Alligator mississippiensis: one gene and its partner. The protein of the gene in region 1 interacts with the protein of each later gene in a pairwise test. Links are inferred from orthologs where the notes say so. Each region holds a gene or a part of one and is shown on either strand. Other genes may lie near its edges.

What was found. The genes of interacting proteins can lie anywhere in the genome.
Region 2: the proteins of RAD54B (region 1) and TCEANC interact in a two-hybrid assay, tested with the Homo sapiens proteins (2 studies listed by BioGRID). The two-hybrid records come from large-scale screens. The link is inferred for Alligator mississippiensis from reciprocal best matches to the Homo sapiens genes RAD54B and TCEANC.

What each region holds. Positions count from the first base shown.
Region 1 is NC_081826.1:43,510,669-43,517,629, forward strand, and holds the start of RAD54B (DNA repair and recombination protein RAD54B), read left to right. Parts: upstream 1-4,001; 5' UTR 4,002-4,012; intron 4,013-4,042; exon of another isoform or gene 4,043-4,256; intron 4,257-6,961. Other genes in the region: RING finger protein 151, read right to left, coding at 3,813-4,001. UniProt on the Homo sapiens protein: Involved in DNA repair and mitotic recombination. May play an active role in recombination processes in concert with other members of the RAD52 epistasis group.
Region 2 is NC_081824.1:324,616,351-324,623,657, reverse strand, and holds the start of TCEANC (transcription elongation factor A N-terminal and central domain-containing protein), read left to right. Parts: upstream 1-4,300; 5' UTR 4,301-4,387; intron 4,388-7,307.

The sequences.
Region 1 (6,961 bases):
TATACCTTGGTGCTGTACCTGGTTAACTGGCTCCATTTCTCAGCAGTGCTTGGGTACAGCACTACATGAATGTGGCTGATGGCTTCTGGCTTGCAATCTAGTGCCCACTAAGCTAGCTTGGGTACTGCTACACAGTGCTGCCTATGCAGACCAGTGATTCTCAACCAGGGTTCCCTGGCACCCTAGGTTGTCTTGACATCTTTTCATGGGGTGTCATACCATATTTGCTGTTACATGTGCAGACATGATTCACAAGATAAACCTAGCAATTTCAAATAGGAATGTTCACCTGCTGTGTTCTCTCTGAGTTCTTTGCAACAAAAAAGTTGCTCTGTTATCTTTCTATAGTGAAGAGTAAGTGAAAACTAAGCTGGAATTGTCTGAGGGGTGCCTTGAGTCTAATGAGGTTGAGAACTGCTCATGTAGACCTATGCTGTGAGTTTTGAGCCAAGCTCACAAACTCCTCTCTGTTGTGGTGCCCCAAAAAACATGAAAAATGGGTAGAGAACTGGTGCAATCTGATGGCTCCTTATGCTGACTAACTGCAGCTCAGTTTCTTTAGAGAACTCCAGCTGTGCTTGTATGCATCTCCGCACAGGCTGAAGAGAGCCAGTCCTCTGCGATGTCGGGTATTTCCTGCTATGCAGAGCAGACCACATACCTGAAGGGTAGCCAGGAGTCTACGTTTTACAGCACACATGTTCAAACCTTGGCCCACAGGGCAGATCTGGGCCCCAGTGCAATGTCATTTGTCCTGCAGAGCTCTCCACAGGTGTGTGGGTAGCCCCAAGGCTGTAACCTTGCATGCTAGACTGGACACAAGGGGCTGGGTGGGGCTCTGAGGCCTGATTCCAGCTTATAAAACGGGGCTGAAACAGCACAAGGCTCCAAGACCCAATTCTGGCACAGAAAGACAGGAATGATGGTTTAAGGCTTGCATTGGCAGCCAACACCTGTGGGCCACATCTGCCCCACAAGTTTTCTCAGTTTTCAGAGGCGTACTTTTCAGCAGAAGCTGCATTACAGGAGCAAGAAAGCAGTTCTTTGCAGATCTGGGACAGTGGCAGATTGGTGGCCTGCAGTGGTGGCCATGTTGTAAGTGCAGGCCCAGCACTAGTAAAAAGCGGCCAACTCTTAAGCAATTAGCTTATGCCACCTATTCCAGAATGGCAGTAGACAGAGACACCTTGTCTGGGGCATTTTATGTACCTATTTGACCCACATGGCCTAAATGTTTGATGCAGCGGTTGCTGGCTCCAGCTTGGAGATTCAGTTTTTGGGAGCCCCTTTTGTAGCCATGAATCTGTAAGCAGAACACAGTACATTTGGGCTGGTTTGGAGTTTCAGTGTTATCAGTTTCCTGGGGTTGCTATGCCATTTCCTATGTGCTTTGCTGATTTACAAATACTGCTCACTTGACAGTTCATGCCTGGAACATCTTTAACCATACGGGACCTGTGCTCTGTGTACACTTTAGCTTAGGACAGGGATGGACAATTATCTGGGCTGGAGGGGCACTTAGGGAGTTTTGGTGAGCTCAGCATCTCCCCCTCCCAAAAGCTCACCAAAACTCCCTAAGTGGCCCTGATACAATTCTCCTTCAGAGGAGCAGCCGTGGGATTAATAGTATTATTTGGCAGGCCAGAACCCAGCCTGCAGGCTGTATTTTGCTTACCCCTAGCTAGGAGATTTAGGCAGCACGTGCACAGGGGCTGCTTGCTTCACATGTTTCAGCTACTTTGAGGGTCCAGATTTCTTTACCTTCTTGGCTTATTTGGCTAGTTTGAAAGCTGAAATACCATGGCATGAATAATCAAGCTGTTTTTAATTGGGAAGCACAACCTTTATTTTTCCATTAAATATGAACAGAAAGCGCAAAAATTAAATGTAGGGAGGGGAAAACCTGGAGGTAACTATGCCTTTAAACACCTTGGGCAATAAACAAGTTATCAGTGCAACTTGGGAGGGAGCAGGAGGAGGAACATCTGACTTTAAAAAAGTGCAAAAAGAGAGCAAACAGCGGGCAAAGATCAGGCTGCATGTGAAGGGCACTTGGAGAAATGCTTAAAAGAACTTTAAAGTCTGTGGGTAGGGGAGGCCACAGAAATGGTCTGATACTTTGAGGGGTCAAATCACACTGTCCTCTTGCCTACAGTTTAGCTTTGGCTGGGAGCCCTGTGATGAGGGAGGCATTCTCAAAGGCATGGTCAACTGGAGTTGACAGATCTCAGATGCTGCAGACTAGTAAGGAAGGCCAGGGAGCAGGCAGAGGCTGAGTAGTGTGTAGGGACCAACCTGTTTAGTCCCCTAGACCAGTGGTTCTCAATGTTTTTGTACCAGGATGCATTTGTAAACACCAGCCTGCAAGGGAAAGCCCACAGTTCCCCATGTTTTCCTCCTTTAAAGGAGAATCCATTTTTAAAGTTTGTTGGTGATCCTTTCATACATTCTTGCGACCCACTTTTGGGTTGCAACCCATGGGTTGAGAAATGCTGCCTTAGACTATCTGCTGAAGAATACGCCTTCCATTAGTACATGCTTTACTTGCGTTTCAACTTCCAACATTTTCCCTGGAAAGCATTAAATGTGCCTTGGCTACAACTTCCTCTTGACTCAAAGCTTTCACTCTGCTGCAATCTTCTCTGCAAATGTCATGCTTCTTGAAGTTCACCCCCATTATCAATCATCTACCCACAATTTAAGGCCTATAAGCTCCCTGAAAATTTGTTTTCTGTAAGCCCTCAAGATCAGCAGTAACTGAATCATTGCCAACACCAGTATCCCTGACAGTCTGGAAGCTGCAGGTGCCAACCCTAAATGCCAAAAACAGTAACAAGCGCTTACTGACCACTGCTCCATTTCTGTGGTCTCAGAAAAATTATCTTCTCCTCTGCTTTTAGGAAAACCATCTCCAGAGTTCTTCCCAATTTGGGAATACCCTGGAGATGCTAAATCCTTTCTAAGCTTTCCTCCTGCCTTGTTTGCCATGCAGGTATGTTTGTTCTTTCAGTCAACATAGCCCTATAGACTGTAAGCCTGTGCTGACGGAGGAAGGAGATAGTTGCTACTTTTCTATGTATGGCTTGTGCTGGTACGGCTTAGGTAAAGAGCACATTCTATATTTCTTATTCAATTGTCTCTCGTCTTTGCTGTATGCACTGCCAACGCTCTCCTGCAGCTATTGCTGGTGTTAACCAGGCTCGGGAGTGGACAGCAATAACCAGCAACTCCTGGCTACTGAGAACCTTCTCATGCAGAAGTTCTGCTGAGTGCAAGGTCCCCAGCTCCTCCTGAACTCTCTCACCAAGGGTGGCTTGACGCTAAGAGCCGCTGTCTCAGCAGCGCAGGCAGCCAGCTCTGAGCCCAGGTGGCAGCTGTGGAGTCTGCCTTTCTCCTAGGCCAGCGCAAGGTCCCAGGCTTTTCTGTCTCGTGCTGCTGGCCTATCATGCTGGCATTCCCTCACCCTCTTCTCTGCCTGCATTGGAGTGACCAACCTGCAGTATGTGTGTCACAAGTGGCATGGGCAGCCCCTAAGAGTGGCAGACAGGGAGGGGACGGGCAGGCAGCGGAGAGCAGAGCAGCAGATCGGGAAGCAGAGCAGAGGGCACCCCAGGGAGCTGAAAGCCGAGCAGCAGTTCGGGTGGGGAGCACAGGGCAGGGAGCAGACAGCAGAGAGGCAGATTGGGGGAGGGAGCACAAGGCAGGGACAGCTAGCGGAGCAGCAGATCAACCCAGGGAAGGGGGGGTCCGCATTGTTGCTCTGCCCGGGCCCGGGTGGCGCCGGCCCATCGCGCCTCGCGCCCCGCACCCACCTGGCGCAGCCGCCGCCCCGGCCCGGAGCCGCTTGCAGTGAAGACGGTATCCAGCTCGATATTCCGGCACCGCCGCAAAAGAGAGGGGCCAGGGCCCTTTACGGCTGGTATTGCTTGACGGCAGAACGCAGCACTAGCGACAGCCCAGCCAAGCCGCCATGCTAGAAGTGGCCGAAACAGCAGGCGCATGCGCAATACAGGTTTACAAGCCCCTGACAAAACTCTGCCATTCTAGAGCGAGAGCAGAAGTGCGAGAGGAAGTCCACGGGGGCGAGCACTGAAGACAGCTTCGCCCCCTTGAAGCGGCGTGGGGAGAGGGTTAGCGCATGCGCAGAGGAATCACTTGTAGCGCTGGCGGGATCCTTGAGCTGCGTTGGCGGCGGGTGCGCATGCGCCTTGGGTCGAGTGGCTGACGGGAGCCGGCAGGCGCGGCGGGACGGTTGAGTGCGCGCTTGGCGTCTCGGGGCGAGGGCGCGTGTGGCGGGGGCGCGGGCGCGGGCGCGGGGGCCGCCGCGAGCGGGCCGTGTAGGGAGCACCCCGGGGCGGGGAGCCGCGTGCTGGCGGCGGTGTTGCCAGTGTACGATAATGATCCTGTTTGTACGATCATTTCAACCCCTTTACCATGGACGGTCAGCGATGGTAAAAGTGTTTGGTTTGCTCTTGTGGCTCCTGGCCCGGCCGCAGCCGAGCCCAGATAGTGCCTGTGCAGCCAGCTGCAGTAGGAGCAATGCAGCTGGCTTGGACAAGGCGAGGAAGAACCATGCTGCTTCCCAGGTCGCTGGGCTTAGGAAGCAGGCTCTGGGGGGGGCGGGCCTGGGGACTGTGGAGCCGTCTTCCCCCGAGCTCAGCTGATGAGTACCCAATAGCCCCCTCTAAGAGCAAGGGGGGCTAACTGTTGCTCTGCGGGTGTAAGGCCTGTGATCCTCTTATGAGTCCGATACGCCAGTCTGAGGAACTGGCAAGAAGCAGCTTTGTACACTGGTGCTGCGTGCTTTTCTGACCAGTCCACATTTATTGTCAGTTAAGGACTGTGGTTCCTCATTGGAAATTCGTCCCTTAATTTGAATTTGGCCCTTAATTTCATGGTGTGCTTAATTTCAATCCTGGACAATCCTAATTCCGGGGTGTCTGTGCTAGATGGGCTCCATGCACTGCATGCAGCTCATGGGTCTAAAGCTAGTACATGCTGCATGCAGTGCGGATTGGAGACCATCAAGCCCACAGGGCTGCCTGTGTGTCGGACTCTACAGGTCAGATCTGGCCCATTGGCTGTGTCTTTCGTAGAATCATAGAAGTAGGGTCGGAAGGGACCTTGTAGATCTTCAAGTCCGACCCCCTGCCTGGGCAGGAAGAAAAGTGGGTTCAAGTGACCCCAGCCAGGTAGGCATCAAGCCTCTTCTTAAAGACCCCCAGGGTAGGAGCCAGCACCACTTCCCTTGGAAGTTGGTTCCAGATCCTAGCCGCCCTGACTGTGAAGTAGTTCCTATGAATGTCTAATCTAAACCTACTCTCCAACAACTGGTGGCCATTATTCCTTGTTATCCTGGGGGGCACTAGGGGAAACAAGGTCTCCCCCAAACCCTTCTGGTCCCTCCTAGTAAGTTTATAGATGGTCACCAGCTCCCCCTCTCAGCCTTCTCTTGCTGAAATAAATTGAGACTTACACTTATTTGCCCACACCCAGACTTGAACTGCCAGCCTTTTCATTAGCAGCTCACAACTCAGGCCCTCCAGCCACAGAAGAGGCCTTTTTTGACAGCCTTGTCCTAACTTATTGTGGTAGCAAAGCGAAGCCTGGGAGGAAAGTTAACTTTTTGGGCCTTTCATTGGAATGGAAGTTTTGGGATCTCTCTTTCACAACTAATGTGCATGTCGTCTATAAGGCAAACTTTCCAGATTGACTTTTGCAATTTCACCAGAAAGCTGAGAGGTGGGACTTACTGCCACCCAGGTGTGTGGGTCAGGTTTGGGTCATTGCAATTCAAATGGCATTTATGCCTATTTTGGATGTTGCCTATTATTGGGCTACAACAGGACTTTCCAGCTGGTGACCTGTGGGCTTCATGCAGTCCATGGGGGGTTACATTGTGGCCCTGGGCTACCACCTGGCCACCACTTTTCCCATTGCTTCAGCTACAGAAGCAGCCAGGGACTCTGGGCTCCTTTTCCCCTCCAGCTTCTCCTTCCTGCAGCATGGTACAGCCTGCATTGCTGAAAGAGCCTTAAGGTGAAATGCAGCAGGGGAGACTGTGGCTGGGGAGCTGAAGATGAGTGAGGGCACTTGGGCACTGGTGTTGTTGTGGGTGGGGGGGGAGTTAGGGAGCAGTGTGTGGTGCAGTGTGGTGTTGCTCAGTTCAGTGAGGTGAAAAGGCTTATCGTTCAGTAGTGAGGGGGGATGGGGGGTACCTGGACACATGGTGCAGTGGGGGGGAAGTGGTGTGTGATGTAGTGGAGGGAGGCACATGCAGTGGAGTGATGCAGCAGCAGAGGGCTGCTTAGGCATGCACTGTAGTGGGGGAGGGAGGAGGCACTGTGCAGTGATGGGGAGGGACATGAAGTGCAATGGTGGGGAGGGCGTGCATGGTGGTACTGATATATGGTACCGCTGGGGGGGTGGGAAAAGCGCGGTACCACTAAAGCAGTGGTCTCCAACCTTTTTAAGTACCAGATCCCTTTGTGAATTAAAGTGCAACCTAGGATCTATCGCACCTCTCCCCCCTGCAAGTGGGGGGGAGCAAATCGAGGCCCCTGCAATGAGGGAGGGAGGGGGGTAGGGGCAGGTGCTGGGGTGAGTGTGGTCCTGCCTGGGCTGGGTGGTGGGACAATTGGAGCCCAGGAGGCTTATCCAGGTGTGGGGTGGGGAGGCTCCAGCCACTACATGCATCCCGGTGGACACCTGGGGGATACGTGCCCTCCCCGATCTGTATGCAGGGTGGAGGCAGCTGCTGTTGCACACTGGACTTTGCACTCCAAGCCCCACTGCAGCTATTCTGGGAGTGGCACAAGGCCACATGTGTCTCGCCACTGGGCTGAGGCTTGCCCCCTGCCCACCCAATGGCAGGACATGGAGCCTCTGACAGTTGCACTCAGTCCCGCCAGACTGAGATCATGCATGTGCTCAGCCTCCCCAGACTGAGATTAGTCAATAG
Region 2 (7,307 bases), on another chromosome or scaffold:
CACTCGGCCTGGCTGCTGCTGCCAGTTTCTCTGCTGCCACCACCACCAGACCTGGCCCTGCTGTCTGAGCACCCCTGCCCATCCACCCTGGCAGTCCATGAAAGGGCATGTTCAGCCGGGTGGATGGGATGGGGCCAAGGTCAAGCAGGGACCAGCATCTGAGAGTGGTTCAGATGAGGTGTTCAAGAATAAGAGCTCAATGAAATTTATCTTTTAAGAAGCAGAATTGCAAGAGAAGTAATTTCCTTACCTATAATTAAATAATATGGAAGTTGGTACATGTCTATTGCTATTCTCATTCTCATATCCTCTCAAATATATCCATGCCTAATGCTGCCATCAAAGCTCTGAACATGAGAAAAATAGTAATTTGAGGATTAAACATATTAATCCTTAAATATAATTTCAACAGAGATCTCATCAATAAAGGCCTTTCATGGAAACAAATATTCCTCCATCTTCCTACTCACACATTTTTCAGACAGAAGCAAATGTGACATTTCAGTTACCCAGCAGTTTATTCTGGATGATCTACTAGGTTTCTGTATAACAGTAATTTCATGTGTGACCATAAATAATGCAGCTGAACATTTTTTTCTGTGTACCTGTTTAGCCTAGCAACTTCATGTATGCACAAAATAAATAGAAAAGGCTGATCTCACTTCCTTGGATGAATTATCCTGAATAGCTTTTCGAATATTTACTATAACTATCATACTTAGTTTCCAAAATGGACAGAATCACAACCTATTTTAAGGTTTTATATTGGTGCTTACCTCTGGTATATCTATCTCCACTGTATAAAATCAGTATCAATAGTGAAGTCTTTGACAGTTCTCCGTTTTGGGGAAGGGGCTTGGAGTTTGATTTTTAGATTTTATTAATTCTTTTTTTCTCTCCTTTTGGTTGTTAGTTTGTTAGACGGTATGTCCCTACTGTCACTTTCACTCTTAAGGTAGAAAGGTCTTTTCAAAGGGAAATACTTTGCGGTGATTTTAATGAGACCATATTTACCCATTTGTCTCTGGAAGTGTTTCCTGTAGCTGAGTTGGTTCTATCTAAAAATAATACTGTGTCCCCAGCTTTCACCTGCTTTTGTGCTTTTCATTCCTCCAAGAGGATTAGGGCAATCATTGTGGCTTATAGAATAGACTTTGGACTTTAATGTATCTGAGACTTAATTTGTTAAAAACTTTTTTGTAAATTAGGACCAAGGCAGCCTAAGCTTCTTTACCAAACTTAAAGAAGGGCACTTTGTTCTCAAAGGCTCATCTAACATCTCTCTCAACTATACAGTTGGTCTAATAAAAGATATGAGCAATAAAACCTTGCTTCTCATATATTTCCTGGACCATCACAGCCACAACAAGACAGATGTGAATCTTTGCCTCAGTTAGCTCAGTGATGTTGACAACAAAATCTCTGAAATGCTATGAAATAATTGGAAAGTACAAGAATGTGAGGTGAAACCCAAGGAACAGTCCAAGCATCTGGTATTAATGTTAATGCGGTTTTTGGAGACATTGGTATGAATTGAAATTGTGAACAGTCTCTACTGTTGAGTGGTGGTGGTGATTAGCCTAAGGAAATACCATTTTGCTGATATCTCCGGTATCCCCTTCTTGACTGAAGGAGAGGATACTGGATGCAGGATAAGTTTCTGGGTGCAAGATCTGCCTGTGAGAATGTCATTGGTTCTATGTGTAAAATGCAATATTTTCATATTCAGCAGAATATTTCATTATAGCACTGCTACCTTTATCTTGTTATTTTACATGAAGTAGCACCCAAAATGGCTATGTTTTTTCATACACAGAGAATGAATGGCATAGTTATTGTTCCCAAGAACATGGGGTATCCTCAATATACCTTACTACCAGGGCTGCCCAAACAACAGAAAAATTAATATCCACTGAATATATTATTCAGTGATTTTAACCAGCATTTGATGAATAACATCTGCAAACAGTATTTGACTAGCCTTTGAATTTTTGAAATTCCCCAAAAGCTATTTGATAGATGGTTGTGACTGGATGAGTTGCCTGTCTTCCCTTCCGTTCATATCCCAACACCTCAGACCTTCTGGAAGACATCTCAACCTGTTATTTGTGAGACCAACTTTGGACAAGTAAGGTCTCTAATAAATTAGACATAAAAAGCTTCTGGAATACAGGAAATGTTCATCCTTTGCTTTTTCTTTCCCTTGCCAGCTGCATTAAGGCTAGTTAGGGAAGTCAATGCAGTGTGCATTTTTAACAAGAGTTCATGGGTTTACGATACTACAGCTCCCTCTGGTGATAACAAAATCCAGTTCTGTATTTTAAAATCTCAGACAGAGTTCTCTAAAGCAGGGATTGACAAACTTTTGCCACAGTGGGCCCTCTTCTTGGGTCCTGATTAGATTTGTCAGAAAATATACCCCAAATTGACTGAACTAGCAATAACTCCTCCTTTGTCACTACAAATATATTAAGAGGGGAGATTTTTGCAGTGGCTGGCAGGGATCATGCTGCAGCATAGCTGCTCTGGGAGCAGCATAGATCCTTGGGCAATTACCAAGCACCCTTGTCTTTGTGGGTGTCCCAGTATTTCAAGTTCAGAGGCAGAATTAAAGACATGTTCTTTTCAAAAACAGCCCCATTTCCTTCCCATTCAAATAAACTTTTAACTGCTTTTCTGGAGGAATTCTCCAGTAGAAAATTACGTGGTCCTTCAGGCACTTCATACTTCAGTGAACACATGACTCACCATTTGCTAACATATGAGCCATGACAGAATTTGACATACTTATTCTTCTTTGTCAAAGGAAGCATTTGAACTCCAGAGTCATGGCACAATTTAGAAGGCAGTAATTATGCTAATACCAGTCATGTTTTGTTTTTTGTTTTTTTTAATATTGCCTCTTACTTTAATAAAACATTGATGCAACAATTGGGGTGAGCTTTATCTTTTATACATTACTTTCATCCTAAAGTATCTTAGGACCTTTCACAAACTAAGTATATTTAGCAAAACTGAAATGGAGCCATCTCAGATACGGAGGGCTGTCTGTCCTTCTTGATCTTCTGTTTGTGTTAGGATTGCTCTAGGGTAAGTAGCATTTGATCCTGGTACATGTCTGGTATTACATGATGGTGCAGTTTTGAGTAGGGGGGCAGGTTTAGATGATAGCCATCCTTGTAAGCTGGTTATCCTGATCTCCAGAGAGCTTGGAGGGAGAATACTGTTCCCTTACCATGCACCTCTGTTGCTTTATCTTGATCTTTTGTCCTCAGTTATGAAATAGTCTCTATATTTCTTCTTCTGTCCTTGTTCTTGCTAGGTGGAAAAACTTGGTTTACCAGTAACCTGTGGCAACCAAAGTGAGAAGGGATGTTGACATTCACTCCATTCTCTTGCTCTAAAACTTTTGTGACATTCAGGACATGATACGAGGCCCATTTGTCTTTTTTGAGTGGAAGGAACATAATAAAGGCTAGTCATTTGCCTGTGGCAGAGTATTTGGGGTAATTGTTGACTACCTCTGATTTCCTGATTTTGGGAAAAGCTTTTGTCCTTTTCTTTGCATTTAAAAATAATGTTGTCATAGGTCCCTCATGATATTTACCTTCTTGCTGCTGTAATTTAAATAAACTAACACTTCAATTCTGAACACTATTTTAAACTTTACTTCATTGAACACAGTGTCCAGCCAAGTAGATTAATGGCAGTATATGTTAAATGTCTAGAAGTAGTGGGCATTTAACAGATGCTTCAATTAATTTACTTGGTAAACCTGATACACTAGAACAATAGGAAAATAGCGATTAGATATCCCCCAAATGTGTTTCCTTTGTATGTGGGGATGGCTGTGTTCACTTACAACATTTTCGTTTTTACTTACAGTACTAGATGTGACCTGAAGACGCTGATTGCCCATGTCATTTATAAAAAGTTGCTGTTTTAATTTGAAGGTTATTTTAATGGAGTGTATTTTATTAACTTGATTAAGTTCCAAGATAAATCATTTGCTGATAATGATAGAGAAACTTTAGACATTCCCTTTGCCTTGCTAACTGTTGTTTTCCTATGAGAACTTACTTCTATCTTCATAATGAAGAGATATTTTGATTAAATGGCATCCTCTTGTGAGGGTTTCTTTTATTTCACTTGGTAATAAATATCCCACTTGAATAAATGCATTTATTCTTCTGGGATCACATCAGCTGGGCTCTAGTTAATTTTTGTACATGTTTGTAAAATTCTGCTTTAACTTCTCTGTTTCTTCTGTTTAGCTTTGCTACATAGATTCTTTGGCAGCAGATGAGTTCTTTTTTACTGTTAATTAAATTCATATATCATCCTATGAAGAAAAGCTTCCAGAAAACATGCCTGTTTTGCTTTATGTGTAAGTAGCCTATCATTTAAACTCTTTAAGATTATAAGAAATCCTCATGTAGTTGTTCAAGACATTATATGTTACTTGTAATCCATGATCTGTTTTTATCTTTGGCTATTGCTATGATTTGTAAATTCTTAGACAGGCTTAATCTTGTAAATCCTGGATGAGTTTAGTTTTTTAGTCCTGCAAAAGTCATTGTGCACCTGGAAGATTCCAAAAACCTGTAAGTGTTTTTAAGTACTGCCTGGGTGCATGTACATATTAAAAGCACGAATATAGGATTTGTGCATTTTATAGCACGGAGCAGCATACTGCAGCCTGTATTTGCAGTTCTTGTAAAAAGGTTGGAAATGCTTATGTTTGGAAACGGAGGTGAGGATATTAGTGGGATCCTTGATGATCCTAAAGTACAGGACAAGGCATATTGAATTGGTAATGTAGCTAATGCCACATGTCCCGTGACCAGCAGTAAAGGTCACCAACTCTATCTGCTCTTCCAGCACCAACTGTTTGATCTATGGAAAACAGGAAACTCATCAAGTGTGATACTGGGCTCATTATGTTAACAAACAAAGATTCCTACTGTCTCAGACTGCATGCACTTCCAAACCAAACATGAGACTTATATGTGCAGTTCAACTAATGTAACTGAAAAATATATCTGGTCTTTTCTTCTGGAGGTTTTCAGAAGTATGCTTGAGAGTCCTTTCAGTTGTGGCTATACACATCAAAATCACAATTCATTTTAATCTAACATCGTGGGGGGCAGATTAGGTTGCTAGTAGAGGACATCTGTCAGTTTAGGAAGAAGACTGAGCTGTGGTTCACACTTATGAAAACAAAACCTAATAAATAATGTCTTGTTACATCCTGTAAGTTGTGGAGTTTGCAGGCTCAAAAGACAACATTGCATTGGTTTACAATAGTGGTTCCCAAACACTGACAGATTGTGTACCACCAGTTTAAATAGATACAACCTAAGTACTACCAGCAAATTTTTCAGTTCAACCTTTTGTTGCAAATTTTTGTCATATAAAGAAATTATAACAAATCTGCTAACGGGTACCACTGACAGGTTGTCTGAGTACCAGTGGTTATATGCATACCACATATTGGGAACTGCTAGTTTACATAATTTCACATTTAAAAGGTTCACATTTAGTTCACTTGCAGAAAATTATCTTTGTAACTCTACAAGTTGAAAAGTTCCATCAAGCGTATTGATGGGTTCCGTCTACAAAAATAGTTGAGCTTCTTGCTTTAGTTTTTCCCGGTGAACAGTTGTGTAGATTGTTAATAATTTGTATATTCACTTCAATCTACATTTTCCCTGGTGCTGTCTGCTTCAAGACTGTCTTTAACTCCCTCCACTTTATGAATGTGTACTCTGTGTGCCTACAGAGTTTTCTTTCATTCTGAAAAATGTCATGAGTTAGATCACAAGAGCCTTCACAGTAGATTTGTTCTGTCCAGCTGATCTTCAAAGTGAGTGTTTTTCAAAGTGAAAAACTAGAATGTATGCTCCAGGAGAAGTTCAGGCAATGTAGGCTGTTTTGGGAATATTTATGATGGTTAAAAGGGAGACTTGAACCAAAGGGAATGGCACTTGGGGGGAAAGATAAGAAAATCTGACCATCCCTCTTTCTTGTAGTTCTTGATGGTCATGTTTTCCATGTCTTTCTTTCCTCACATTTCCTCTAACCATTTGTCATCTCTGAGAGTCCTTCAGATGTCTCTCTTTGATTTCTCCCTCACTCTGTCTTCCCCAATCATTTTTTTCTCTCATTTTCAGCCCTTTCCCCGCTCCCAGCCTTTGAAAACAGCCTTTGAGAGCATGGAGGCTGATCAGGAGCATAAATCAGACTAGGAAGTGTGGTTTCTGCCTGCATAGGGCTGCAGAGTATGTGAATTCTATCAGAGGCATAATGAGCATGGCTTACGCCCTGGGTAAACCCTCCAAGAGAGCACATGGGAGTGGGGAACAGCGTGACCCTGGCTGTTGCTCTTACAGCAGCAGCATGGTGTCCACACACCCAGCTGCTGTTGCAAGAGTGATGTTGTACATGGGGCTGCTTCTCCTGCTGAGACTCCAAAGGGGTGGGGGTGATACTGGCACCCCTACTAATCTGTCACTCAGGGATGGTATCCCACTTGGTGTGCTGTACCTAGACTCCTGGAGGCCCCAGGCGAACTTTTAGTATTGGGCACCCCTTTGCCAGAAATAAGGGGTTTTTTTTGTTGCAAAAGTCTTTGATTTTCAGGCCCCCTTTCTGTCCAGGCCCCAGGCGGCCTCCCGGCTTGCCCATGCCTATGTCCAGCCCTGCCTACTTGCCCATCCCAAGTTGTGTTGCTGAATTCTATCAGTTCACCATTGACAGTGCTACAGCGAGAGACTTTGATTGAGGATGGAAGTATGTAACAGACCTAAGTTTCTTAAGGACTCATTGAAGTTACTGTCAGTCTCAGGTTTTTTCGGCTGGCCAGCATGAGAAGAGATACGTGGATAAAACACTACTTTTGGTACAATTGATCCCTGCAACTGTCTTTCTTTCACTAAACTTACAAGGGCAGGTGTGCACTTTAGACTATATTTCATCAAGTTTAAACTTATGATCAACATCAAAGCAGAGAAAATGTTAGTATTGCTAGTCTGCTGTACAGTTTTTCTAAGGACTCTGAATTTTGTCAGAAGATAATGAGAACCCCCCCCCCAGTCAAATCACATGACTGCATTCTTAATGCCCTTTATTTTTCATTTTGTTGCAAATAAGACCTCATGCAAGTTTGTCCTGTGAAAGCATTATGTCTGCAGCTTAATATGTAGCTAAGGTATTTTACAGAAAATACAAGGAAAGTCCTTTGTCTTAAAGAGCTTGCAAAAAGAACAGTCAGCAGTTATTAATATGTGAGTTACTATTCTGGAACC